Linked DNA regions of Cricetulus griseus. The protein of the gene in region 6 binds, or shares a complex with, the protein of the main gene of each other region. Links are inferred from orthologs where the notes say so. Each region holds a gene or a part of one and is shown on either strand. Other genes may lie near its edges.

The links.
Region 1: Actl6b (region 6) and Smarcc2 share a complex: the UniProt entries of both Homo sapiens proteins name them as parts of the BAF complex. The link is inferred for Cricetulus griseus from reciprocal best matches to the Homo sapiens genes ACTL6B and SMARCC2.
Region 2: Actl6b (region 6) and Dpf3 share a complex: the UniProt entries of both Homo sapiens proteins name them as parts of the BAF complex. The link is inferred for Cricetulus griseus from reciprocal best matches to the Homo sapiens genes ACTL6B and DPF3.
Region 3: Actl6b (region 6) and zinc finger protein neuro-d4 share a complex: the UniProt entries of both Homo sapiens proteins name them as parts of the neuron-specific chromatin remodeling complex. The link is inferred for Cricetulus griseus from reciprocal best matches to the Homo sapiens genes ACTL6B and DPF1.
Region 4: Actl6b (region 6) and Smarcc1 share a complex: the UniProt entries of both Homo sapiens proteins name them as parts of the BAF complex. The link is inferred for Cricetulus griseus from reciprocal best matches to the Homo sapiens genes ACTL6B and SMARCC1.
Region 5: Actl6b (region 6) and Smarcd3 share a complex: the UniProt entries of both Homo sapiens proteins name them as parts of the BAF complex. The link is inferred for Cricetulus griseus from reciprocal best matches to the Homo sapiens genes ACTL6B and SMARCD3.
Region 7: Actl6b (region 6) and Smarcd1 share a complex: the UniProt entries of both Homo sapiens proteins name them as parts of the BAF complex. The link is inferred for Cricetulus griseus from reciprocal best matches to the Homo sapiens genes ACTL6B and SMARCD1.

Annotation. Positions count from the first base shown.
Region 1 is NW_023276806.1:129,429,130-129,432,629, reverse strand, and holds part of Smarcc2 (SWI/SNF complex subunit SMARCC2), read left to right. Parts: intron 1-200; coding exon 201-286; intron 287-1,032; coding exon 1,033-1,114; intron 1,115-1,208; coding exon 1,209-1,301; intron 1,302-2,877; coding exon 2,878-2,947; intron 2,948-3,176; coding exon 3,177-3,246; intron 3,247-3,500. UniProt on the Homo sapiens protein: Involved in transcriptional activation and repression of select genes by chromatin remodeling (alteration of DNA-nucleosome topology).
Region 2 is NC_048598.1:120,355,408-120,358,907, reverse strand, and holds part of Dpf3 (zinc finger protein DPF3), read right to left. Parts: intron 1,728-3,500; coding exon 1,567-1,727; intron 1-1,566. UniProt on the Homo sapiens protein: Belongs to the neuron-specific chromatin remodeling complex (nBAF complex).
Region 3 is NC_048602.1:6,521,092-6,525,179, forward strand, and holds the start of zinc finger protein neuro-d4, read right to left. Parts: upstream 2,801-4,088; 5' UTR 2,703-2,800; coding exon 2,590-2,702; intron 2,291-2,589; exon of another isoform or gene 1,430-2,290; intron 1,203-1,429; coding exon 1,042-1,202; intron 941-1,041; coding exon 833-940; intron 1-832. UniProt on the Homo sapiens protein: May have an important role in developing neurons by participating in regulation of cell survival, possibly as a neurospecific transcription factor. Belongs to the neuron-specific chromatin remodeling complex (nBAF complex).
Region 4 is NC_048597.1:217,593,581-217,597,546, reverse strand, and holds the start of Smarcc1 (SWI/SNF complex subunit SMARCC1), read right to left. Parts: upstream 2,801-3,966; 5' UTR 2,725-2,800; coding exon 2,533-2,724; intron 1-2,532. UniProt on the Homo sapiens protein: Involved in transcriptional activation and repression of select genes by chromatin remodeling (alteration of DNA-nucleosome topology).
Region 5 is NC_048601.1:97,911,730-97,915,902, reverse strand, and holds the start of Smarcd3 (SWI/SNF-related matrix-associated actin-dependent regulator of chromatin subfamily D member 3), read right to left. Parts: upstream 2,801-4,173; 5' UTR 2,649-2,800; coding exon 2,571-2,648; intron 1-2,570. UniProt on the Homo sapiens protein: Involved in transcriptional activation and repression of select genes by chromatin remodeling (alteration of DNA-nucleosome topology).
Region 6 is NC_048597.1:116,471,933-116,476,111, reverse strand, and holds the start of Actl6b (actin-like protein 6B), read right to left. Parts: upstream 2,801-4,179; coding exon 2,776-2,800; intron 2,372-2,775; coding exon 2,295-2,371; intron 1,939-2,294; coding exon 1,773-1,938; intron 1,459-1,772; coding exon 1,358-1,458; intron 1-1,357. UniProt on the Homo sapiens protein: Involved in transcriptional activation and repression of select genes by chromatin remodeling (alteration of DNA-nucleosome topology).
Region 7 is NC_048595.1:396,140,200-396,144,411, reverse strand, and holds the start of Smarcd1 (SWI/SNF-related matrix-associated actin-dependent regulator of chromatin subfamily D member 1), read right to left. Parts: upstream 2,801-4,212; 5' UTR 2,618-2,800; coding exon 2,441-2,617; intron 2,249-2,440; exon of another isoform or gene 2,229-2,248; intron 1,833-2,228; coding exon 1,645-1,832; intron 1,366-1,644; coding exon 1,323-1,365; intron 1,224-1,322; coding exon 1,101-1,223; intron 655-1,100; coding exon 532-654; intron 1-531. UniProt on the Homo sapiens protein: Involved in transcriptional activation and repression of select genes by chromatin remodeling (alteration of DNA-nucleosome topology).

The DNA.
Region 1 (3,500 bases), on a different chromosome or scaffold from region 6:
ATTTCTTGTGAGTTCGAGGCCAACCTGGTCTACAAGAGCTAGTTCAGGACAGCCTCCAAAGACACAGAGAAACCCTGTTTCAAAAAAACAAACAAAACAAAACAAAACATTTGAGAAGGAGATGAGTTCAGAGTGGGATTTTTGTGGCAGGTTTTTATTTACAATGTAACTCACACTTCTTCCTGGTCTCTATTTTGTAGATCAAATGTTTCCTAGATTTCAAAGCAGGAGGATCCCTGTGCCACATTCTGGCAGCTGCCTACAAATTCAAGAGTGACCAGGGATGGTGAGATGCCTTCTCTCTGCTGTTCATGTTTAGTTTAAAGAAAATTCCCAGTGTTTCCTGGGGTCCTTCTGAAGCCAGAGGACGCATTAGAAATCCTATGTGTCTTTTATTTTGATAGATCAGAAAAATAGATGGCATAGCCAGAACAGTCCCCAAGAACCAGTGTGTCTGGGAAGAGGGTTTTTAGGTTGGCATCTCAAACTTTGTCCTTTTGATTTAACACATAGAGTGAATCATGCAGTTGTGACTTGGGCAAAATTTGTGACAATATTACCTCCTAATTGTTAAGAAGTTCTGTACCAAGCTGGGAGTTGGTGGCACAAGCCTTTAATCCCTGTACTCAGAAGGCAGAGACAGGTGGATCTCTGTGAGTTTGAGGCCAGCCTGGTCTACAGAGTATGTTCCAGGAATAGCTGGGACTGTTACACAGAGAAACTCTATCCTGAAAAACCAAAAAAACAAAAACAAAAAAACAAGTTATGTACCCTTGGGGCTAAAGACATGGCTCAATGGTTAAAGCACTGGCTGCTCTTGCAGAAGATGTGGTCCTGCTCCCACATGGCTGCTCACAACCCTCTGTAACCCAGTTACAGGAGATCCAATGACCTCTTACGGCCTCCTCAGGCATTGCATTTACATGGTGCTTACAAACATGGCGAAACATCCATATACATAAAATAAAAACATAAATGAGTCCTGTGCCCTCACACAAACTATAACTTACTAGATTATCATCCCTTTACAAGGCGGCGTTACGATTTCCAGAATCCGTCTCGCATGGACCGCAATGTAGAAATGTTCATGACCATTGAGAAGTCCTTGGTACAGGTAACGTTCAAGCCCTTCCTCCCATCCATTTTCCTTTTCGCAGAAAGAATATAAAGCAGTCTCTCCTCATCTCATCCACTTCTCCTCCTCACAGAATAATTGCCTGTCTCGACCTAACATTTTCCTGTGCCCAGAGATTGAGCCTAAGCTGCTGGGAAAATTAAAAGACATTGTTAAGAGGCATCAGGTAAGTGTGAAGGGAGGCAGGTAAGTCAGGCTCCTGAACTCCTGACTGGTTCACGCATTGTCACCCCTGTTACAGTGCGTTTCTCCACAACTGATGTGTCTTCCATCAGGAAGCAACTTGTGCCACGTTCTCCCCTGTGCTGTGGCCCTCTCTACTCACACTTTGAACAGCACTTGTCCTGCTTGTCAGCTCTGTTCCCCAGGCTTGATAGACTTATCACTGCCCCTTGGCACTATATTGGCCTGGATGAAGGAGAATGTCTTCCACTGAACTAGACAGACCTAATTTCAGATAAACATAACCCTGCAATCAGGTGCCATGATGTGCCCTGGCACTTAGGAAGTGGAGGCAGGAGGATCAAAACAGTTCAAGTCATCCTTGGCTACATAGTGTATTCAGGCCTGCCTCAGCTATAAAAGTGATGCTATTAAAACAACCACAACAAAATCTCTCTTCTTTGGAACTGCTTTTTATTTGTTTGTTTGGTTTGGTTTTTCGAGACAGGGTTTGTGTGACTTTGTAGACCACACTGACCTTGAACTCACAGAGATCCACCTGCCTTTGCCTTCTGAGTGCTGGGGTTAAAGACATGAGCCACCACCACCCTACTGGAACTACTTTTTAATGAGAAGTGGGATATTATGGATGGGCACAGAGTCCACTTTAAATTTCTGGTGGGTAGGGCTGGGACGATGACTTCAGTTTCTTATGTAAGTATGAAGAACTGAGTCTGGATCCTCAGAACACATGTAAAACCTGGGTGTTGTAGTTTCTACCTATGACTCGAGAGCTAGGAAGTAGAAACAGGTAGATCCCGGGGACTTGTTAACCAGCTAATCTGAAATGTCAAGCTCCTGGTTCACTGTCTTAAAAAAATAAGGTGGAAAATAGAAGCTAGAGGTCACTTGTAGTTGACCTCTAGCTTACACACACACACACACACACACACACACACACACACACACACAGGCAGTACGCCACACACACACACACACACACACACTCACTCACACACACACACACACACAGACACACACACACACTCACACACACACAGACACACACACACACACAGACACACACACACACACACACACACACACACACACACACACACACACACACACACACACACACACAGACACACACACACACACAACACACACACAGACACACACACACACACACACACACACACACACAACACACAACACACACACACACACACACACACACACACACACACACACGCCACACACACACACACACACACACACACACAGGCAGTACGCCACACACACACACACAGACACACACACACACAGGCAGTACGCCACACACACCTCTCCACTATGCAGCGCATCCACACAGAGGGTTGTCTGTGGTAATATTTAATTCGTTGGCTTTTCCCCAATGCTAACACATCGTTACCACTGTGTTTTTTTGCCACGTAATGCCATTGCAAGAAAGATGTAGTTAGACGGGCAGGTCTGTGCTTAGATTTTAATTCTTATATTTATACCTGAGAGTAACTCAAAAGGAAGTAGGTTTACCTGCTTTTCCCTGTGCTATCCAGGGAACCATCACTGAGGATAAAAGCAATGCCTCCCATGTTGTGTATCCTGTCCCAGGGAACCTAGAAGAAGGTGAGACCGGGTCTTCCTCTCTGCTATGATGGCTTGGGCTGGTGGATGGAGGACAACTTAGTTCACCATACACACCTGAGGCTCTGGGCATTGCAATCCTGAATCCTCATCCCATGGATTCCCGTTATTGAGTCTCCTGCTAGAAGAGCAGAGTGCTTAGGTAGAGTCTTTGTCTAGTCCTTGTGTTTCCCTCAGCTTATTGCTCCCTCTTCTCTGTCTCTATCCTCAGAGGAATGGGTGCGACCCGTCATGAAGAGGGACAAACAAGTTCTTCTGCACTGGGGCTACTACCCTGACAGGTGAGGATGGGTTCTCAGGGCCGTCAGGAGAAGCAGCAACCAGACACAGAAGCTGTCTGGCAGAGCAAGAAGGCACTGTTCTGGGTGTTTATTTCATTATTTGTTTTTTGGGGGGGTGGGGGTGGGATACAGAATTTTGCTATGTAATCCAGGCTGGCACGGAACTTGCTATGTAGATCAGGCTGGCCTCAAACTTGTAGCAATCCTTTTACCTCAGCTTCCTCGGTGCTTGTATGTAAACTGGCTTTTGTGTG
Region 2 (3,500 bases), on a different chromosome or scaffold from region 6:
CTACGGTGCAAACAACCCAGTTTTTTCAACAAATAACATACAAGGGAGAGAGTGTGTCAGAGAAAAGCCTGCAGATTTCTAAGAGGCACATCAACCAGTTGCAACGTAGAATCCTATTTGGAGCCTGGTTTACACTAGAGGCAGAAGGAGAAATGGGTGCCGACTACATGATTTGATAGCAGTTGTGAGATGGATTGGTTATTTCCTTTATCTTTCCAGGTAAAATCTTGTCATGTATCCCAGGCTGGCCTCCAACTTGCAACCCTCTTGTCTCAGCTTCCTAAATACTGTGATTGCAGGCATGTCCCACTGCACCCAAATGATTTGACATTTTAAGTCCATAGTATTTATACATGAAATGATGTGTTGTCCCAGGTCTACTTCAACGTCATCCAGAGTCAGGGAGAAAGTTAACAGCTAAGTATGAGTGTAATGATTGGCCATAAGCGACTGTTGTGGAACTTGACCATGAGGATTTCAGTTTTCTCTGCCATTATCCAAGTTTTACACGAATATGAAACTTTTCCAAACAGAAGTTTGTTTAAAATACTCATACAGAGCCAGGTGTGGTGGCATATGCCTTTAATCTCGGTACCTAAGAGATAGAGGCAAGAGGACCAGGAAGAGGTCAAGATCATAGCAAGTTTGGTTTGGCTCCATAGCAAGTTTGAGGTCAGCCTAGGCTATGTGAGACCCTATCAAACATAAGGAAAAAAAACAATAAACCAGAGGCTACAGAGATGGCTTGGTCAGTAAGGTATTTACTATGAAAGCACAGAATCTGAGTTCAATCCTCAGAATCCATGTAAATGCACACATTTTTAATCCTGGTGCTGGAAAGGAAAAAAATAGGCAGACCCCTGGGACTCACTGACTGGCCAGCTGAGCTGAATAGCAAGCTCTGGGTAAAAGTGAGAGAACCTGACTCAAAATGCAAGATGACGAGCAACTAATTAAGGAAGATACTTGCATGCACACATGTAACCCACACACACATACACACATCCCCCACACACATACACACATCCCATATACACACACACATGGATGGGTATACACACATATGTGTGTATATACACATGCACACAAAATTACATTTTTAAATAAGTATGACCACAGAAAACTGCATTTCTAGAGCTAGCTGTCTCCCTAATCTATACCAGTGAGTTTTTATTCTATTCCAAGAATCCAAGATTACAGTCATGGTCATGACAGCAATAATATCCAGCATTTTAGAGCATATACATATTGAGTTGTTTGTAGATATTGTCATTTAATCCCAATAAACTCTGTGTAGTAAATACTGAGATTATCCACACTTCAGAGATGACAAGCCTCGGGGACAGAGTTCTGATGACAAAACTAAGCTGTATTCCCACAGGTAAGCACATTTGCAGATTCTAGCCAACACCCAAGGGTGAAAAATGAAAACTGCTTTCACTGGACTCTTCCAGATAAACACCTCATCCATCTGTGACCCCCACCCTACCCAGTTGTGTGGACTCCCGGACACAACAGGACTTTTTCATCCAAACTCATGCTGGTCCCAGCAGTGGCCTGGCTCACCTGGGCCTCGGTGCCTCTTCTCCATCCAGATATAGCAATTGTTCTGGGCCACCCCAGTCTGCGAGTCCAGGAAGGGGAGACGCACACTCCGCTCTGCACACAACCGGGAGTTGTAGCTCCGGCAATGCTCAATGGCTTCCTTGTAGAACTGATCCCCAAGCCTACAGGAGACAAGACAGCAAAGGAGTGAGACCAGGGAAAGTAGAAACACCACCAGAGGGAAGCAGTCCCCTACCCTGTCCCCAGGAAGAAGCCACAGTTATGGCAACCAAGCCAATGAGCACCAGGAGCCCCATTTGTCATCAACTCTCTACCAGATTCCATGTCCTGTCCCATATCTACCAAGTCACTTAGAAACTCCTTTAAAATAAAGCCCAAAGAGCAAACCATCAGTAAAGGTGACCAGCCCTGTCCTGGGAGGCTGAGAAGTGGCAGGCCCCTGGAGGTGGTTCCATGGCAGTGTTCTGCATAGGACTTACAAAACATCCAGCTGCCAGAGCCCCCGCTTTGTGCACCTCCACACTTGGTTCTCAGAAGTTGCCAAAACACACCCAGATTCCTATTATGACAGAGAAGCATTTAGGATAGACCAAGACTATACAGGCAGTTCAGCCATTCATTGTAAGAAGCAAGGATCTTCTAAACCCACAGTTAAAGGAAAAGAACTTTCTCTGATCAAAATCAAGCAAGAGAAGTATTTAAAATGTCTGCCTCCCCCTCCCACTTAGGAATTGCTGAGGGAGAGTTACAGAAGGCAGAGCCCCCACAGGGAGCCCATTAGTGCATAGTCCCACACCCATGGTCGCACAGTCCTGCTTAAACACAGTAGGGCACAAAACAAAACAAAAAGACATGATTGTGAGACAAGGAGTTGTATGGAAAGGGGGAGGTCAATGCCGGTGGGTGAGCTATAAGGGAGGTAGATGTGGTCATCCAAATGTATTATGTGTATAAAATTTCCACACAATAAATTTAATTAATAAAAATTAAAACAGTGAGACTGGAGAGAAGGCTCAGCTGATCTTCCAGGGGACCTGAGTTTGGTTACCAGCATCCAGTCAGGCAGCTCACAACCTCCTGTAACTCCAGCTCCAGGAGATTTAACGTCGTTTTCTGACCTCCACATGCAAGCACATATATGTAGCATTTATACACACACATACATACATCATACACACACACACAGAGAGAGAGAGAGAGAGAGAGAGAGAGAGAGAGAGAGAGAGAGAGAGAGAGATGCTTAATCAGGTCAAGATTAATAATAATAATTATATAATAACAACAACAACAACAATAATAATAATAATAATAATAATACTTGAACTCAGAACAATTCAAAGAAGATACAAATAGAAAACCATCCTGGTTTTAAACAGAGTCAATCAGTGAACCAAGTATTTCATACAATTTAGCTCTCTTGAGGCCAGCATGTTGCACTTAGCATGTTATGGCACTCTAGGTTCATCTGTGCTGTGATGTGTGTCAGGATGTCCTTCCGTTTTAGACTGTGTTATATTCCATACTGTGCTTATCAGTTCATCAGTCAGTAGATACTTGGATTGCTTTCATGCTCTAGTCACTGTGAATATGATAACTACACTCTTTTTAGAAAATACATCACAATACCCTGTAGACATAGGGGCATAAAGTATCAAGTCTCTACTTTCAATTACTTTGAGTTCAGGCCCAAGAGTGGATTTGGTGGCCCATATAGAAATTCTGCTTTTCTTCCCTCCTTCTTTCCTTTCTTTTTTTTTTAAGAACTACCGTACTGTTTTTCACAGTGGCTCAGCCATTTCACAATCCTACCAGCATTACACAGGGTTCTAATCACATTCCTCTACTGCTTGCTACACAGCAAGGCTTAAAGCAGGCTTTCCTATTCTTTTTTTTAAGTCAATAGGTCAGATTCTACTAAGGATCTTTTAACTTTA
Region 3 (4,088 bases), on a different chromosome or scaffold from region 6:
GAAAGCACTAACTCCAGTCAGTCTATGAACTAGCACACACCTCAAGAAGCACCTAACACAGAAACAAGCCGAAAATCTCCATAGCAATTTCTCAGCATCAGGACCCCAGCAGGACATTCTGGTGGAACCATATATACCCCCAGAAGAGGTAGATATACACAGTCCCAGCACACACACACACACACACACACACACACACACACACACACACTTGGAAACACCTAGAAAGAAACAGGCATTCTAAAACACTCAGCAACAGTTACAATGAGACACTCAACTCAGTGGTTCTCAACTTTCCCAACGCTGTGACCCTTTAATACAGTTCCTCATGTTGTAATGACCCCCCAACCACAAAATTATTTCGTGGCTACTTCATAACTTTAATTTTGCTACCCTTATGAATCGTAATGTAAATGCCTGGTATACAGGATACCGGATACGCAACCCCAAAACACAGGTTGAGAAACACTACTAAGTCATCCAAACACACAGGGAGATAGCCAGATGCCCTCCAGCACCCACAGAAAGAAACACAGCGGGACATGGGCGTACCCCGGCTCACAGGGGAGCGCACACAGTTATCTATCTAGACACAGATAAAAGGATGTCCTCCGTACACCTGCTCGCCACGGCCCACACAGCAGGTACATCTGGAAGCTCAGAAACTCAAAGGAAGTAACTCAAGACACGGGGAGGGGGGGGACGACGACGACACAGATAGCCTGTTGTGGAGACACCCAGGGGAAATAAAGGCTACATTCTGGCTGACAGCAGTGGGGCTGAGGACTTCGATGGGGGCCACAGCGGGCGCAGGGGCCACAGCTCCACCCACCGATCTTGTACTCGCAGGGCCGCAGCCTGGGGTCCTCCAGGATGTTGAGTCTCCGTTTCTTCCTCCAACAGCGGGCGGGGTAAGTGTAGATCTGTCCTGGGGCCAGACCTGGAGGAGAGGGAGGGATGGAGGGAGAGGGAGGGAGGGCGGCAGTGAGCGTGCGGCCCCGGGACGCAGGCCCCGCCCCGCCCCAGCCTCGCGGCGGGTACCAGGCCCGCGGTGGGTCTTCTCCATCCAGATGTAGCAGTTGTTCTGGGCCACGCCGGTCTGCGAGTCGAGAAAGGGCAGGCGCAGGCTGCGCTCGGCGCACAGGCGCGCGTTGTAGCTGCGGCAGTGCTCGATGGCCTCCCGGTAGAAGTCCTCGCCGAGGCTGAGGGGGGCGGGCGAGCAGCGGGCGAGCGGCTGTCAGCCAGGGAGGTCCAGCACCCTCCACCACCACCCCCCCCCCCACGCCCCGGGCCTCCCGTTCCCGCCGCCGCCGGTCCGCAAAGGGCGAACCAGCCAGGGCCCCCTCCCCCTCCTCCTCCTCCCATCCCTGGGGACCCGGGGGCGGGGCGGGGTGCTGGCTGGCTGGCTGGCTGGCTGGGAGGCCGCTACCTGGAACTTGATTATGTCTCAGGTTAAGTAAGAAGTGTGTTCACAGAGCGAAACGCAGCAGCAGCAGCAGCAGCAGCAGCGGGACCCATGCACACACGAACGTAGCCAAACACCCAAAACAAACAAATCGCACATGGCCACACGGGATTCACACACAAAGGGAAACATATCCCAAAATTCACAAAGGAGAAGCAAACACATTCACACACACACAGACACACAGACACACAGACTGGGGTCAGAAACAGGCCATAAAACTACCTCTGCACGCCACGCATCCAGAGACCCCCAAGATAAACACATTGTCCACAAAGCCCCCCGGCGTGGCAACGTACTACGCGCAAACGTCGCAACAGTCGCACGGTGTCCAAAGCGGCTTGCCCACACACCTCTCTCCAAAGACACGGGGTGTCAAACACACGATACAAAGAGACCACGCAGTCACACGCGCGCACGCTCACACCCGGGGGGAAACGCGACCCCAAACTCGAAGCGCATTCCCAAGCACAGGTACACGCCTCGGAGACGGAGGGACAGCCAGGTCCGCCCGTGCTCGCACCCAGCCTCACACCTCCCCGTGCAAAGACGCAGCCTCGAGGGTGCAGCCTCAGCAGACGCGCGCGCACACACTCGGAGGGGACCCGAATGCCCAGATGGGCACCGTGCAGAATAAAAGAGACAACCATACGCACATACCCACACATCCGGCCAGAAAACAAAACAAAAAAGCAACGCACAAGTCGCACAACACACTCCACGCCCCAAGACAAAGGTAGCGTGGGCTCGACTCGCGTGTACTCAGGTTCCCTACGCCGCTTCCCCCTCTTGCAGACCGTGGCATCCCCGGGAGGGGACATGACCCCCGTCCCCTGGAAGCCCTGGGGGACCCCTCCCCCACGCCCTGCACCCGCCCCGGACATCACCCTTGCCAGACACCCGCAGTCACACACGCTCGCACCCCCGCTCGCTCGCTCGCACACGGTGACAGCCCCCTGACACCCCACCGGCCCCACCCCCAGCGGCCACACACACACACACACACACACACACACACACACACACACACACACACACAGAGACACGCACACGCGCGCGCGCGCGGCCGCGCAGACCCGCCCCCGCCTCCCACTCGCCCCGCTCGCCCGCTCGCCCGCCCGCACCACCTCAGGGGGCCGGGGATGACCGTGGCCATCTTGCTCCCCGGGTCCTGCCCCCAGCAGGTCCCTGCCGGGTCGGTCCTCCCAGCGGTCGGGCGGGCGCTGAGGCCGCCCATCCATTCATTCCCGGGGGGCGGGAGCACGCGGATCTCAGCCAATCAGGACGGCGGGGCGGGGCGCCCGGGCCATGCCGGGAGTGGTAGTCCCCCCGCGGGTCCTCTAACCCGGGGCACCGGGGGATGGAGGATCACGCAGTCCCCGGTCCCACGTGCACAGACGCATGCACGCACACACGCGCACGTGGCCGCTTACACACAGCCACGCTCGGCTCGCAGGCTCTCACACACCCCACCTTCACTCACGCCCCGCCACAGGCGCCCAGACCTCGCCAGTGCCCACCCAGCCGTGTCACCAGCATGCCGGAGTTGACGCCACCTCTCCCACCATGCCCTCCAAACTCTGGAGCACCCATCGTGTCCCAGGGCTGACTGTCGCGGTCGGTCACCCGGGTCCACTCCTCCGCAGGACTACAGGACTGTCGTCATCCTTCCCGGGCTCAGATCCTCGCTGATAGGACCTCGGGCACATGACTTAACCTTTCTGGGCCTGTCTCCTCCTTTAGAAAATAGTTATAACACCTCATCGGACTGAAGAGTAGATGAGTGACAGGGTAAGTGGCTGCTTTCGTGACAGAATCCTACTGTCCAGCTCAAGCTGGCCTCAAACTATAGTTCTCCTGCCTCTGCCTCCCTGAGGTGTGTGAAACCACACCAGTCGCTGTAAAGTGTTTTCAAAGATACATAGCAGGGCTTGGGGGTGGTTCTGGTAAAAGAAAGTGATCGAGAGCCCATGGGTTCAATCGCAGTCCCACATGAAGAAATAGTACCTGGCAAGTACTAATAAATCCATTTATTCCACAGAGAAGACATCTACAAAGAGGATCTGACACGTACCAAGGCATAAAGTGGTTACGCCGCTCTAGAAAGAATAATGCCTGCCCGCCCTAGTAGGTGTCCAACAAATATACGTTGAGTGGTTACTTAACATTTGCTTAACACAGCTCTCCCCAGACTAAACTATTACTGTCCTTATTTTCCAGACGAGGACTTTGAGATCTGGAGGAGAAACCTTACCTGTTCTCTGCCCCTGACTGCTGTCTGAAGGTAGCACTGAAAGACGAAAGATTCATTCACCTGGTCCCTTCCACTCTTCTCCCTCGGCATCCACACACCCTATCCTCCTAACAGAACCCCAGCGAAGAGCTGACCTACCGAGTCTCTCTCTCTCCCTCTCTCTCTCTCTCTCTCTCTCTCTCTCTCTCTCTCTCTCTCTCTCTCTCTCTCACACACACACACACACACACACACACACACACACCCTCTGGGGAATAACTTAGCACTCTGATTTGAGTGGCTGCATAAATTAGCATATCAAGTGTTAATACAAATACCCCGTTGTCCAGCAGGGGGTGTTCCACCCACCGGGCTAAGACTCAAGATTTC
Region 4 (3,966 bases), about 100 Mb from region 6:
AAACAAACAAAAAAAAAAGGAAGAAAAAGACAAACCGATGGTGGAGACAGTTTCATGACACTAGGAAAGCATAATTAATGAATTAAATGCAAAACCTGTATTAGGGCTGGAGAGGGAGAGGACTCAGTACTTAAGAGCATGGCTGCTCTTCCAGAGTGTCTAGGTTTGACTCCCAGCACACACATGGGAGCTCAGAACCAATGGCAACTCCACTTCCAGATGATCCCAAATGATCCTTCTGGTTTATATGGCACACTTTGGTACACAGACATGTATGCAGGCAAAACAGTCACACACAAACTAAAAATAAACTGAAAAATTGTATTTGAGCCCACTATTGTGACTCATCCTCATAATCCCACAACTATAAAAATGGAAGCAGGAAGGCGTTGAAGACCATCAAAGGCTACAAAGGAAGGTCTGGGGCTTCTGAGCTACAGTGGTTTTGGGTCATTTGTTTTTCTAAAGTTTTATATAGGCCAAGCTGGCCTCAAAAGAAAAGAGACCTTCAAAGTCTCATTTGTTTCATATTAACTGCTGAGACTGAACGTTCTGTCTGGTGCTAGAGATGGCTCAGTAGGTAAGAGTGCTTGCTGCTCTTCCAAAAGACCAGAGCGGAGTTCCCAGCACCTGCACCATGTCACTTACAACTTCATTTACCTCCAGTTCCAAGGAATTAGATGCCCTCTTCTGGCTTCTGTGGACACCCACATGAAGGTCACACACACAATGAAATAAACCATTGATTTATATGTTCTAAATACACTGTTAAATACAATAGAAATGCTTAATGAATCCAGTGTGATGGCTCACGCCTATTCTAGCACTCAGGAGACAAGCAGGAAGATCTGTGAAAATTTGAGGCCAGCCTGGTCTCCTAAGTTCTAGGACAGCCAGAGCTACATAGTGAGACCCTGAAGAAGGGGAAGAGGGGAGAGAAATGCTAAAATAAGTCAACACTCTCTGACTTTAAAGCCTTAGAGACAGGGTTACTTCTGAAAACACCCAACATCACTGTCAAATACCAACAGTTCACCAGGCTTGCCTTGATCTTCGAACTCCCTATGTGACAGATGACCTTGAACTTCTGATCTTCATGCTTGTACCTCTCAAAAGGTAGCAGATGTCAACCACCATGACAGGTGGTGGTTCATATGAGGTGCTGGGTTTCAAACCTTATACCTAACCCATACTAAGTGAACACTCTACAAAACATTCTACAAAACGATTTAAATCCCGAGGTCCTAGTTTAACTTTTCATTCATTCAACATACACTTATTCAACAACTGTTCAGTTAACTCTAATCCAGAACAAATCTCGTATCAATCCTGGTCCTCAATGGGGTAAACACTACTGAATTTGAGAGGAATGGAGGAATTGTTTTAGAGTCATTCTTTAACATTTACATAGTGGGGAATTTTACTCTACCGGTGAGGTGAATATACACAGGTAAAGAAAGGCACTTGGGGCTGGAGAGATGGCTCAGAGGTTTAGAGAACTGACTGCTCTTCCAGAGGTCTTGAGTTCAATTCCCAGCAACCACATGGCGGCTCACAACCATCCTTAACGAGACCTAGTGCTCTCTTCTGTCATATGCATACATGTGTACATAATAAATAAATCTTTTTTAAAAAGGGGGGAAAAAGGCACTCATCACCAAGCCTGACGACGACGACCTAAGTTCGATTCCTGGACCCAGGTGGTGTTAGACGAAAACCAATTTGCTTAAGTTGACATCCACACAGGAGTGGGATGCACCCCTCAAAAATAAATAAATGTAATTTTTTAAAAAATACCAATTGGTTAATTCACAACTTTGTAAACAACTGACTCAGCCAAATGAGCATTCGAAAGTAGGAGAAACAAAAAAATAAAAGAATGTAGGAGAAACACGGGAATTTAAAAAAAAATTACAAAGAATACATGACATAAACAGTTCTCGACGAAAGACGTTAACTCTTGTACTCCTATCTTCATGCATCACAAAAAGTACAATAAAGTAAAAAAAAAAATACTTTTAATAGTCCGGTATCATTCCTATTGCTGAGTTTAAACCTACATTAACTCGCAAGACAACCAAGCCAGGTCCCTTAGGGAACCCACACCGGGTAGCAAGCCCTTAGTTACGGAACCACTTAGAAACTCATCTCTAAACAAAACTTGCAGCTACTTTGACTATGCTGGGCTCAGTCTCTTTGTTCACACACCTAAGCAAGCTAACAAAAGACAGGGGACACACGCCCTGCGGCGGCTCTGCCCGGCTCCACCTGCTTCTAGAAGCACGGAACGGCGGGCGAGCTGGGGCTTCCCACGCGAGTGCGTGGGCCCGGGAGAGCCCGCAGCGAGCGCCGGGCCCGCCGCGTGCCCAGAGCCGCCCGCGGGGGCGTGGCGAGAGGCGAGCCTGCCTTTGTTGTCCCTCGTGGCGCGAGGGGGAGGGGGAGGGGTGGCCCGAGGCTCGCGAGGCCCGCAGCCACCGCCAGCTCCTGTCGCGTGGCTCCTCGGTACCCACGGGCGCGCGCGCGCGAACCCACCTTCTTGTAGTGCTTGCCCAGCCAGACTCGCACCGAATCCAGCTGGGACACCGTGTCCGGGCTCTCCCAAAACTTGCTGGCCGGGCCCCCGTCCTTCCTCCGGTACACGGCCAGGCCCGAGGCCGCCGCCGCACCCCCTGCACCCGCGGCGCCTGCTGCCGCTCCCGGACCGCCGCCCGCTGTCGCGGCCATGGTCACCGTCCGTCGTCTCCACCGCCCGGCCTGGCCCTCGCGGCGTTTCCCGTTCTCACCCGCGCGCGCGCGCAGACACACCGCCTCCTCCTAGCCCCGCCCAGCCAACCCCCTTCCGGCGTCCGGGCCCGGCCCCGCCCCTCCCAGGCACCGGAGCGGTAACGGACTGGGGGCGAAGAGCAGGCGTACGCATGCGCAGCACGCTGGCCGCCCCTGCAGCTGGAGGCGCTCCCCGCCTCTTCCGCCCGCCTCTCAGGACTGAGTCCCGGAGACTCCTCTCCGGCTTCCTGCGTCTGTCTGGTCGATCGGCGGTCGGCAAGCGACTACTAAGAGAGCCGTCTCGGGTGTGCAGTGCGAGCCTAGGGCCCGCCCTGAGCGCCAGTGAGCCGCCCCCGCCTGCCCACAGTCCGACGTCGGCCTCGCACGGCTTCACTCTCTTTAGTGTCTCCCGAACCACACCAGCTGGTTTCTGCGGCCTCGAGATTTCCTTCCATTTTGACACTCGCACTCGAGGCATTCTCAAATTCATGAAAATATCCCAGAAAACCGGTCCCTGACTGAAAAGCTGATCACACCCACCCGACGGTTTCTTGGTAGTTCTCGCCACAACCTGGTGTTTTTATTCCCAGGTAGATAGATCCTCGGCGTTGGGAAACGGCGTTTTGACTACACAGGTTCGGTAAATATTTTATGAATGAGTGGTCCACGTGAAGGCCGAAAGAGTTTGAAATATTAAGCAAATGTGACTGGCTGTACTGGAGAGGTGAACGCCATGCTGTATGATCCTGGAGCTCTAAGTAGTGAGCAAGTCTAATGACTTCTCTCCCTCCTGTTAAAAATGAGTGCAAGTAGCCGCTGGGCGACAGTGGCACACGCCTTTAATCCCAGAGGCAGGCGGGTCTCTTGAGTTCGAGGCTAGAGAAACAAAACAAATACATTTAAAATGTGACTAGAAAAGACGGGTAACTCGAGACCCAACTGAAACAAAGGCACTAAGTGTGAGGAAGACTACTCAGTGGAAAACTTCAAGGTGCGCGGTGAGAGCTGTAAGGTTGATTTTACCTAAAGGACTCACTGGGAAGCAAACTTCCACTGAGGAAGTGCCATGGTGGGGTGTGTACATCAGGATGATAGCAATCCCGTGAGTATGCAGGGTCATGTGGGGAAATGTGGATTCTGAGCTTATTGTGGGGGCCCATGCCAATAATCAGCGCTGATGATGCTACAAGTTCATGGGCAGTT
Region 5 (4,173 bases), on a different chromosome or scaffold from region 6:
TGGGAGTGATTGTGGGAGGGGCGGGGGCGCGGGAATCTGCGTGGCTCTGGAGGAGGGGGCTCGCCGGCTCCTTGCAGGAAGCTAACTGAAGCCAGGCAATTGCCCAGGGCATAGCCGAGCCTCGGAGCCGTGCAAGGTACCGCAAAAATGAATATTAATGGCGCCTTTCAACCTTTCAAAGGATGTTCACATCGGCAGGCACGGTCTTCTGCAAGCCAGCCAGAGCCGGTCTTTTTTATCCCCAATTGACAGATGGGGCAACTGGGGCTCAAAGAGAAAAAGCGACCTCGCCAAGGTCACCCCGTTCATCCCGACAAAGGCAGCACCTTGACGGGCCTTGCTCCCCGCTGCTTTCCTGCTTTCTACAGCCCACTTCTGGGGCTTTGTATGTGAGCCCCCATCTCCCTTTCAGCACCCCTGGTTTGGACCCTTGGTGTTCAAATAACCCCTTCAGCTGACTCCAGGTCTCTGACTTAGTCTGCCTCCTTAATTTCATTTCTCCCAAGGTGATACAAGAGGCTGGGCAAAGGCACCCGAGGGTCTGAGCTTTTCCGAGTGGCAAGTGGGGAACTGGACTAGAAGTGGGCTGCCAGAGGGCAGGGATGGTTGAAGGAAGCCACATCTCCCTCCCATCTGCCTACATCAGAGAGAGAACCCAGTACCCACCCCATCCTAGTAAGGGTACAAATTGGAGGGAAATGAGGCAGGTTGTATTTCCCCAGCCACCACCTCTGGGCAGTCAATCAAAACAGAAGAGGTGTAAACGCAAGCGGGGTGTTCCAGAGTCCACTTGTCCAGGCCTGGAAAGGGAGTTGAGGTTTAGGGGCTAACCAGGAACAAGGAGGTGATGTGGGGGTGCAGACCCTACTATTTACACACCCTCATCTCAGGCTAGGGATGTAGCTTGGTGTAGTGCTTGCCCAATACATGTGAAGCCCAGGGTTCGATTCCCAGCACCAAAGAAACTGCACTTGTAATCCCAATCTCAAGGTGGGGACAGAAAGAGCAAGACCATCTTCCCTTATATAGTGAGTTCGAGGCCTAGGCTACAGGAGACCCTGCCTCAATACACAATAAACAAATACAAAATACTCCTCATCTCACCCCAGAACCAAGAAACCCCGACTGCTCAGACCAAAGGTCTCCACCCTCTACCACCCTCTACCAGCAGCTGTCCCTGGCCATCTCTTCTGTAGTGTAACCGGCCAGTTCCTGAGTTTGCCTCCCCCATTCCACCTGACTCTGTCACTCATACCACCAGTGCCACCAGGGTGGAAGGCCAGGCCTAGTCATTCCCCACTACTAATAAGGGGGCCTTGATCACTCAAGGACTGACCCTCCAAGTTGGCCATATTCAAATCCACATGGGCAGCCTCCTCTTCACTGAATGGGACTCTGTAAAGCAACTCCCCCAGGCAGCTAGGTTAGGACTGGTAACTCCACTAACCCACAGGACTGCCTTGGGAACTGCACCCCAGAGATCCCTGTGGCTAGAGGGCAGGCTGCCACAGGGAAGCCCTCCTCCCTATCAGCTGCCCTGCTACTCATCAAGGCCACCCACACTGTCTGGTTTACTGAGAGGAAGGGGCTTCCAGGGGCTCTGCCACCAGCACCACAATCACAAGAGGTCAAGGTTTTGGGGGCCCTTGCCTCTTTCACTGAGGAGGTGCTTCTTGGAGTCACAACCAAATTTGGCCATAGTAAATTTGACTGATTTTTCCCTCTATCACATATCCCCAAGCCTGGAGCGCCTTACAGCCAGGCTCTCCACTGACTCAACCCAGTCATCTCCCTCCTCAGGTCCCTGGAACCCTCAGGTCCCTCGTGTGCCTTCACATGTCTGTGGCAGGACACTATAGTGTTAACCCTTTGATCTCTAGGCCTCATGTCCCCAACTCCATCCCTTCACACCTTTGAGGTATTAAGGTCATCAACTTCTGGTGGCTGAGCCTGCCAAGGGATCCCCTGACCCCTTTAACTTGGGGTCCATCTCTTAAGTAGGCCTCTCTTAGCTCTGACAGCAGGGCCAAGTCCTCAGGACCCTCCTGCTAGGCTGCAGAGGTTGCTCAGCCAGGGAGCTTTTGCTCTCAGGTGCCTCCAGGGTCACCTGCTCCTAGTTCCTCAGACCCAGTCAGAGTGACACTGCCCCTGTGGATGAACAGGACAACAGGCAGCCCAACCCTAGTTGTGTGTTCCAGTCGCCACCCCACCCCCACCCCAGGGCAGGGGTAACACCTGGGCCCACCAGTAAAAAAGAACGGGCGACGTGTCAGCTACAGAGGGGACCCACCTCTTGGGGGGCACGGTGCCCACATCCCACCCCTTGCCCCTGACAAGAGCCCAAGCCGACGCCTCTCTTCCCTGCCGCCGCGCGCCCATCCCCAGCCGACCGCTTGGCGACGTGTTCGGATGCCAGGGCGCCGGCAAGGTCCCAGGGTTGGGCCGTGACCGTGCGCCCCCCAACCAAAGGGGTGGGAGAGCGGGAGCGCGCCGGCGGCCCTTCCCGATCATCCCTCCATTCAGCCCGAGCCAGCTCGCTCGCCCTCCCCCGCTAACTTTCCCCCACTCACCACCCCATGGACCAGAAACTCAAAAAGTTTGCTTTTCGTGGCTTTGCGCGCCCCTCCGGCAACTTCGTCCGCGGCCATCGGGGTGGGCTCAGCGGCTCCTCTCACTCTCTCTCTCTTCCTCTTTCTTTCCCTTTTCTGCCTTTTTTTCCTCCAACTCTCCCCTCTGAGTCCTGCTGGGCTCTCTCACACTTCTACTCGAGCGGAGTGGGGAGGGGGCCCCTTCAGGGCTGCCCTGACGGCCCACGGCCCAAGCCGCCGCCGCCCGCCCGCCGCCGCCGCCCGCCGCCGCCGCCGCGGCTGCCGCATTCCTGCACTGATAAGACAGAAATAGTCCGGCGGCCCGGGGTCTGCCTGCGACGCGCGGGGACACAGCAGCCCTCCCGTGCACCCGCGTGGTCCAAACGGCGCAGAGACGCGGCGAGCCAGGCCGGTCCGCCCAGCGGCTGCGAGGCGGGCAGCGAGCGCCCAGGCCGCCGGAGGCTCGCCGGTGGCGGCACGGGGAGGGACAGTCTAGGGAGGGGACGGGGGGGGGCTTGCCCGCCACCCTGCCTTCTTTCTCCACAAACAGTTTCTCGGTTGGGGAATTCGCCGGCAGGGCCAGGCAGAGAACGGGCAGTTCCAACTTTCTTCCCCCAAGTGGCTCCTGCAGCATTTCTGAGGCCCTTTCCCCAGGGACCGGGCAGGCCAAGTAGGGAAACATTTGCTGGAAGGAATCCGGGGGCGGGGGGGCGGGCGAGCCGGGAGCGGGCCTTGCAGCCGTCCAGGGCCGGCCGCCGTGGGTGTGCCCGTGCCTCGCGCTCCGCGTGTCTGCACCCTTTTGTGGCTCGGCGCAGCGGCCGAGGGTGTGGATGTTTATGTGCGGGCACCGGTGTGCTCCCTCCACGGGAGCCGCCGTGCCTGCGCGTGCGAGCGTGCGAGCGTGCGTGCGCGCGGGGCAGGACACGGCCTGTGCCTTCCAGCTCGGAGGGAGGCTATTTCTGGGCTCGTGAGTCTTTGTTTGCCTCTGTGTGGGAAAGTGAGGGCAACCGGGGAAAGTCTTTCCGAAAAGGGGACATGGACTGGGCTCCTGAGCACAGGAAGAGTGAGTGTGGGGAATCGTGCCGAGCCGGGATGCGTACTTGGGTGGGTAAGGAGGAAAGAGTGAGCAAACAAGGTTTGGTGGCTCTGGCATGGAGACCCAGGGGGGCTGGGGGGCTGAGGTCCGCTCCAGGACCGAAGAGAAAGCAGGAGTGTGGAGTGGGAGAGGATGAGGGAGCCCCGGAAAGGACCGTAGGGAGAGAACTGGCCGACCCCCGAGTGGAGGGAGAACAGAAAGGAGATCCCTAGGCTGAGCTCAGGCCCCGCCCATGCCAGAAGCCACGCCTGTTCCCACCTTCTGGAGGAGGAGCCCGCAGGCTTTGGGACAACTAAGGGTCACACTTATGGGCTTCCTGGGACGGCAGCTGTCAGAACTAGGATGAGGGAGGGACAAGGCCTGAGGGAATTTGTGGGAACACATTAAAATTTGAGCCCTCAGGACCCAGCATTGCACGGAGGGGGCCTAACCTTTGGCCCTGCAGAATGTCTTCATTGGCCAGGACAAGCAACAGAGGGAATGTTCTCC
Region 6 (4,179 bases):
GAGCTAAGTGGTTGCTGAAGGATCTGCTCCATGAAAACAAAGGTGTGAATCAGGAAAAGGAGTCAAGTCATAGATGCACCCACTTTTCTTAGAAGAAAAACAAGGAGATTCTGCTAGGTAATGCTGAAGAAAGATGTTAGTATAACAGCTATTTCCCAAATTTAAGCCAAAGTGGAATGTGTCAGTGGCCTCCGAGAGGGATTTTTTCAGTAACACTAAATTAATAGAATATATCATGGAATTAGTGTCTTGAGAAAATACATAGATATCTGATGGGTAACTTAGGATTACATTGATAAATAGAAAAATTAAGTAAAATAGAAACAATTCTTAGATCTGGGGAAGACAAAAGTTGCATGAGAATGAAAAAATAACCATGCCCGAATCAGCTCTTACTAGCCTGTAAGATATAAAAGAGTATAAACTCAGATTTTTTTTTTTTTAAATTGACACAGGTTTCTCTGTGTACCAGCTCTAGCTGTCCTGACACTTGCTCTGTAGACCAGGTTGGCCTTGAACTCACAGAGCTTCCCCTGCCTCTGCCTCCTAAGTGCTGGGATTAAAGGCGTGTGATACCACCACCCAGCTAGGGCTAAGGCTTCTGAGAGAGACTCATGCTCCCATAGATAGTCTCACACCTGTGTACACAGAGATGGTACTAAGTGGGCAGCACTAAGTGAACCCAGTCTGTCACTAAGTGGACCTAGTCTGTTTTGCTTGCTTGTTTGTTTTTTAAAGGACATGAATTTGGGAGACAGAAGGTAGGAGAAATTAGGGGAGAACTGATGAGAGAGACGTGGTATATTTAATAAAAAACATTATAGGCATGTATGAAATTCTCAACAACAAAAAAGATATATGAGGAGATAGGTATTTTGTTTTTGTTTTTGAAACTGAGTCTCTCTTTGTAGTCCTGGCTGTCCTGAAACTCATTATGTAGTTGAAGATGACCTTGAATTGCTGGTCCTCCTGCCTCTACCTCGAGTGCTGGGATTACAGGCTTAACCTTTCTTCCTTCAGTAGTGGGGGCTGAACCCGAAGCCTCGTACATTCCAGGCAAGCACTCTACCAAGTGAGCTACATTAGTAGGGTTTGTTTATATAACACTGACCAAAAAGTTAAGTATATGTGAACAACAATAGGCAATGGAGTGGATGGAGCTAGAAGAGAGAAGGCAGAGATGGAGAGTAAGCCAGGGAGTAAGACATGTACGTGGTTGAAGACGACAGGGTGAGAAGGAAGATTCTGGAAAAGAAGGCGGAGTGACTGAGAGTGGTATCTCCAAGTTAGAGGTGATGGTGGAAAGGATGTGTCACCAGGGACCCCGGGCCGATGCGGGTCTGGATGAGGCACTCACCGGAGCCTCCGACATGAGTACTGGGTGCAGATTTGGCTCGGACTTGACATGTTTGCTGTAGGTATGATCCAGGATGGCTCTGAAGCACTCCCAGTCCTCAACTGGGACATAGGGCCAGCGTTGAGAGGCAGATAGGACGGTGGGAAGGAAGGCAAGGGTCAGAGACAGGAAGTAAGGGAGGGAGGGAGGCCGAGTCTGGAGGAGCTGAATCCAACATCAGCTGACAAGTACCCCCTCCCTTAAGTTCCAGAATTCTAGGGGGTTCTGGTCTGAGATCCCTGTAGGGAGCAGTGAGGAGGTTCTTGGGGCTTGGGCAGCATCAAATCAGACTCTGTGGATGTGGAGATCTGTGTCCACACGTGGGAGGGGGGAGCTCCGAGTCTGTTTCAGAAAGTGGTGTATGGGGGCCCCTTACTCATGCCGTTCTTGAGGGGCGACATGACTTCCGCTCCATCCCGAGGCACGTGCAGGGCATTGGTGTCGATGTGGAAAATCTTCCCTTTCTTCTCTTTCTCCCCCTCCAGCTCCAGCCCACCCCCCTCTTCTGCGGCCAGCAGCCCCACAGTGGTGGGGAAGTCAGCCTGGTAATGAGGAACAGGAATGGGGAGTCGGGTTACTCCCTCCTGTTTTGGAGATAGGATCTCACTATGAAGTCCCCAGCTGGCCCAGCACTCTTTGTAGACCAGGCTGGTCTCGAACTTACAGAAAACCGAATGTCTCTGCCTCCAGAGGGCTGGGATTAAAGGAATGTGCCACCATGCCCAGCTGGATCCCTTGTCCAACTGCACTCAAGACCCTCGGCCACCCCTGGGCTTCCTCCCCTGTCTGCACTCAGGTGAGCTACTTGCATTGAACTGTGCAAGCCTGTTCATAGGCCGACCCACCTGGCAGAGGGTATCCCAGCCCCAGGGAATTGGGGAGGGACTGGAAGGCTCACCTTGGGGCAGTCCTCCCCAGCGTACCCAGCTCGAACTGAGAAGGAGCCAATGTCAAAGACGAGCGCCCCCACCTCATCTGTACAAGGAGACAGGTGTGTGAGGAGACCTCTCCCAAACTGTCCCCCTAAATAGCTTGGAGAGGAGTCTGGGGGTACAGCCACAGTTTGAACTTCAGCATGGAGCAGGTGGGAGATCCACCTGGACTTCAGGGCGCCCTGGAAGTGGAGGGTCAAAGCCACCATAGTTCCCTCTTGCCTAGTGGCCTGGCAGGGGAAGGACGTTCCAGGGGCTGGGAGGCAGTGCACGCTTGGGAACCCCAGGAGGGGTGGAAAGCAGAAGTCGTGGGAGACCCAAACCTCAGGCTGGACCTGATGCAGCACGGAGGTGACAGGCCCAGGGATGCTCAGGGCTCGGGACGCGCGGGTTCGGGATGCAGGGCTGCAGACCAGGCCGAGAGCCCGGTGCCCCAGGCCGGCTCACCTCCGCCGTAGACGCCCCCGCTCATAGTGCCCTCTCTACGCGGCTGGCTCGCGGCCCGTGGGCGGCGGCGGGATCAGCACCGAGGTGGCCGGACAGCTCCCGGGATCCCGGGCGGGGCGGGGCGCAGCGGCGACCAATCAGGAGGCTGCATTCCCCGCCCCCAACGGCGCGGCCGATTGGTTACAAAGAGAGACAATAACCCGGCTGGGGGCCGCCGCTTTAAAGGGGCAGCGGCTTCTTTATGCCGAGGTTGGGAGGGAGTAGGGTTCCACTGCAAGAACCCTAGAGGCGGGCTCAAGACACAGACAGTAGGGAAGAGAAGCAGATTCGAACTCCACAGGGTGACGGATGGGATGGGATCCCCTGATTTCGTGCCCCCCCACCCCGTTTCCTTAGTGTTCTTTATTTTTTAATTTTTAAAAAATGCAATTGAAGGAGAGGTCGCAGAACAGTCCACCCCCAGACTCCCGAGCCAGTCTAAATGCAGAGAAATGGGAGGATAGGGAGAGGGACCAGAGAAGTATGTCTCTCCGTCTCTCCATCTATCCCCGACTTTCCGCCTTTGTCTTTGGGCTTATTCATTTATTTTGTAGGCCAGGCTGGCCTCAAACTCACGGAGAACCACCTGTCTCTGCCTCAGGTACCATAACAACTGGTTTATTTTCTTTTATCTGGGGCAGGGTCTTGTGTAGCAAGGGGTAGGCTCAAACTCACTATGTATCTGAGGGTGAGTGTCTTAGAGCTTGTGGTCTCCCCACCTCCACTTCCAGAGTGCTAGGATTACAAAGTCTATGCCAACACCCAGTTTGTGACGCTCAGGAGAGGGAGCCCAGGGCTTCACTCTTATTAGACATGAACTCTGCCAACTGAACCATGTCTCCAACTCCTTCTCTTTCATTTTTCTTCTCTTTCTTTCTTTCCTTTTTTTTCGAGACAGGGTTTCTATGTGTAGCTTTGGAGCCTATCCTGGCACTCGCTTTGGAGACCAGGCTGTCCTCGAACTCACAGAGATCCGCCTGCCTCTGCCTCCTGAGTGCTGGGATTAAAGGCATGCGCCACCAAAGCCCTGCTGTCTTTCATTTTTTCTAATGGCTGCTTTTCCTTCCTCCATTTCCCAGATCCTTGACCTTGTACATAACATGTAATATAACATGTGTGTGCACATGTTTACATGGAGGCACTAGGCTAACCCAGCAAGCCTTTTTTAATTGTTTCTTTTATTTTTGATATTCTAATACATTACATCATCACCTCTCTTTGCCCCCCTTCAAATCCATGGCCTCTTTTTTTTTGTATGTATATACATATATATTCCTAAATATAACCAATTTGGTCTGTATGTGACTTGTATGTACCTTTTCAGGCCCTGGAGAAGTGTAGTGGCAGATGCCTATCTTTCCAGCA
Region 7 (4,212 bases), on a different chromosome or scaffold from region 6:
CCTAAGGAGCTGCTGGGTGGGAAGTGTGGGGGCTCTCACTGATCTGATACTCCCCTTAGAGCAACAAAGAGCCCAAGCCTTTGGAGAATTCTATCATACTTAAACTGTGGTATCTCCAATGAAAGCTGGGAAGACAGAAATAACTTCCAGGACTTAAGAGAGGGAACATGGCCTCAAATGCTAAGCATAGACTCAGGAGGTGGGGATGAGGGACTACAGAAGTAATCTGCAGATGCTGCTAAATCCAAAGGCTAGCATCACCAGGACAGAGTAAACATCCAGTCAGATCCCAGGACAATAATGGTTTCCATTTGATACCAGTGAAGCTGTGGGAGCAGATACAAAGGACCATTGTCTTTGTGTGCAGGGAACACAGGGTCTTTCTCCCTCTCCCCACCCCCCCTCTGCTTCCGGAAGCTCCCAGCAGGACCTATAAGCACCAGTCAGGCTTCCTGCTGACCATACAACATTGATCATCACCAAGAGCTCCCACCCTGAATACAACACCAACACAGTGGACCTTCAACTCACATCCTCCAGGAGCCGTCCTTCTACCCGGAGCTCCCAGGAAGCCACCGTCCCTTCCCCATCCTCTGCATCTGACTTAGCCGGATTGAAAGTGTTAGAAATGAAAATTCGCAGCTTCCGTTTTTGCTGAGGAAGGCAGAAACAGGATTGATGATGGAGCCTCAGTAGTTTGATGTTAAAGACAAAGGTTTTCTAGGCTGGCTTATGATAGGTGAATAAATACTCCACTTAGAAGAATACAGGCCCTGAGCCTGAGCATAAATAAATATGCTGGGATACCAGGTGAAGAAAACCATACAAAGTGGCAGGTTCCCAAGGTAGCAAGTAGTTATAGCAAAAACATGGGCAGGGTATATTTCTGGTGCAAGAGACATCAAAAGCTCCCCCGCCCCTTTCCCTGCCAGCTGCTCTACTCTTATGTTCCTAATGTAATTCCTGGTTTGTAGGCGGAAGGGAAAGATGCAATTTAAATGCCAAGGAGGGCTATGCTGTGCCTTTGAATTTTCATCCTAAGCCTGGAGAAGGTTCCTGTCCCCTCCCTTGACCCACTGCCCAGTGCTTTCCTGTGTTACCTTGATGGGACGTTTCAAAGCCTCCTGGATATCTAGCCGTTTCCTCATAATAGTCTGGTCCAGTTTCCTTTCAAAAGCCAGGAGATCCATATAGGCCTGTGATTCTGGTACCAATTCCCGAATCTTAGGAACAGAAAGATACGATTGGGCCCTAGAGCTGACCACCTGTACTTTCTCAGTCACTACATCTTCAAGAAGAAGACCTCTAGAGCCTGCACTCACCCTTTGAGGTAGGATTTTGTCAGCCATCTTCTTTTTCTTTGCACTGTTCGGAATAAATACTGTTATCAGGGTGGGATGGAACTGTCAGAACATGAGCTAAGCTGTCAGCACCTTTGTTGATGGCACAGCTAAGGCCTGCAAAACGGCTTTCTCATCACCATCAACTCCCTCTCCACCTCCACCAGGAAGCCTTCACAAGGGTGAGTCTCTGCAGCACCATTTGGTGACATAGCACCACCACTTCCTGGTTCAGTACTCCCACCACTTGAATCCTCACAGGTCTCCCAGTAGCTTCTTTCCTTCACCCCAGGCGTCATCTTACTTGTGATTTCGATTTTGGACCGCCTGCTGCTGGACCTGCTGGATCTGTTGAGGCGCAGGTCTCTTGCGGGACTGGTCCATCCCTGACTGGGCCAGGCCAGGTCGGACTGAAGGGTTCCCCCCATAGCCAGGAGGTCCCATGGAAGGTCCCTGAGGTGTCATCCGGCTGCCTGGCAGCATGCCTGGTCTCTACAGAATGGAGAGGGCCCAGAGATGTCATACCTTTCCTTGACAGCTCCACCAAGAAACGAAAAGTGATGGAAGCCTGAATTTTTGGAATGAACAAGGATGGGGGTGGGGGAGGTAGGGTGGAGGACAATCACACAGCCTTCTTTCTGCCTCTTTGAAATACGGTAACTGGACCTTCTTCAGGCCTGGTAGTGGTTTCATAGAATATAGGGTCTAAAAACCAGATCAGACTCAAATTTTCTGGAATATGTGGGATCTGACTCACCAGACATCTCTACATTTACTTTATTACTCAGCTAACTATCTCCTCAACGTGCAGCTCTAACTTGAGTGTTCCTCTGGACACTGAGCTGCCCACCTCCGGGCCCACTTCACCCACCCTGGCTCCACACTCACTCCTCAAAAGCAGACAATGCCGCTGGGAGCAGGTGAGGATGCTAACCTCCTCCCCCAATCGCGCTCTTCCTCGGCATTGCTTCCCCCACCTCCATCCAGGACCCGAGCCCCTCCCAAGGGAGGCCCTCCCACTTCTCCCTCACCCCTGTCAGTTCTCCGCCCTCGCTCGGCCCCGCCCCCGGCCCACGCGCCCCTCCTCCTGCCCCACTCACCGGATAGGCCGCCCCGGGCATCGGGGAGCGGTACAGCCCTTGACCCGGCGCCGGGCCCATTCGCACCGGAGGCCCGGGAGTTCCGCCCGGGCCCAGAGCAGCCGCCACGCCCGCCCCTCCCGAGGCTCCGGCGCCGCCGCTCGGAGCCACAGACTGGAAACCCGCCCGGGCCGCCATCTTCCCGGAGCCGCCGCAGCAGCTGCACAAAGAACCGGAACCGGAACTCCCCCCGCCCCCCGCGCGCCCCCCGAGCGCCTGGGCTGTTTGTGGGCCCGGCCCGCCGGCGGGCACGGGCGGCTCGGGGCAGCGAGACTAAGGCCTAGAGGGGGCAACTAGCGGAAAAGGCGTGCTGACCACTCCCTCCCGCCTTCGCGGCACAGGAGGGGCACCATAGAGAAGTGATGTGCGGATAGAGAGGTGACGGGAGCGGGCGCCCCCAGGCGGGCGGAGGACGACAAGGCGTTGGAAAGAGACGAGCGCACACCGCAGGCTGGAGACACTGTCATCTCAACACAGTGCTTTTGCCTTTCCAAAGCATTCTGTTTGCTTTGCTTTCCATTCTCCTACTGCTCGAACTCCGGGTACGAAAGAGAGAAACGTGCTGTTTATTCGTTTTACAAACGGAAAAGCTGAACTCAAAGGAGGGAAATGTCTTGGCAAAGACAAACCAGCAAATTAAAAGAAAAGCCATCCTAGATTCTGGTCTCCTGGCTGGTAGCCCCGGCTTCATTTCACAGATAATGGCTCAATAACTCTCCGACGCGGGAACTTCACCCTTCATCTCAGACCATTGCCTTCAGATATTAATGAATTTTGGCCATGAATCCTCTCCGAAGGTCCTGGAAATCTGTTGCTGTTCATTGCTCTTTCACTGCCCAGTGATTCAAACTATTCCTGAACCTGTCCTTTTCCAGGAGGACCAGTGTTTACCTGATCAAATATGTAGGGTCTCATGTAGCCCAGCCTAGTAGTACACTCGCTCTGTAATGAAAGATACCTGCTTCCATCTCCTAAGTGCTGGAATTACAGGTGTAGCCACCACACTGGACTACCCAAATTCCTTACTCTAGTCAACATGGCCCTCAAGGCAGGCTGCATTCTAATGGTAATCCTTATAAACTCTTCAACCAAAAAGAACAACACTGAGGAGGAGATGGTTGAAACCCAGTTTATTAGACCAGAGGCATGCGTCACTCAGAGCCCCGCCTGCTGTCCCCCAGCCAGTGGATACTTCTCAGCTTTGTGCCTGTTTCCTTCTGGGGAGTCTGCTGTCTACAGAACTCTAGAGAACCAAGAGTTCTCAGAGATGCTATAGCCCCACTCTCTGGCTCCAGGCCAACGCACACAGGTGGTCTGTCCACAAGTCCTTTTTGGGGATTAGAGGCCAAGAGACAGACAGTGCAGTCAGAGAAGTCCTGCAAAGGGTTGGAGCTCTGGCCTGGGAAGAATGCCTGGTAGGGGTGGGGAGGCCCTCTTCTTCAACTTGTGGTCCCTTAAGGTAGGGACACACAACAGCAGAGCCCTCAACTTCTCCTCTAGGCCTGTCTCTTTCCTCACATGACCAAACCCTGCCTCACCAAAAAATACAAGTGGTGGGCCTGGCTATCAAAGTGAGGGAGGGGCACTGGGCACCCAGAGGAGAGAAAGGCCACCGAATGAGGACTTCCGCTTCTGTCTGTGGGTACCCACTGCCCCAGCTGCAAGAGTCACCAATCCCCAGCCTCTTCTGTCTCTAACACTCTTGGCTTAGCATCCAGCATAGCTCCATTCCT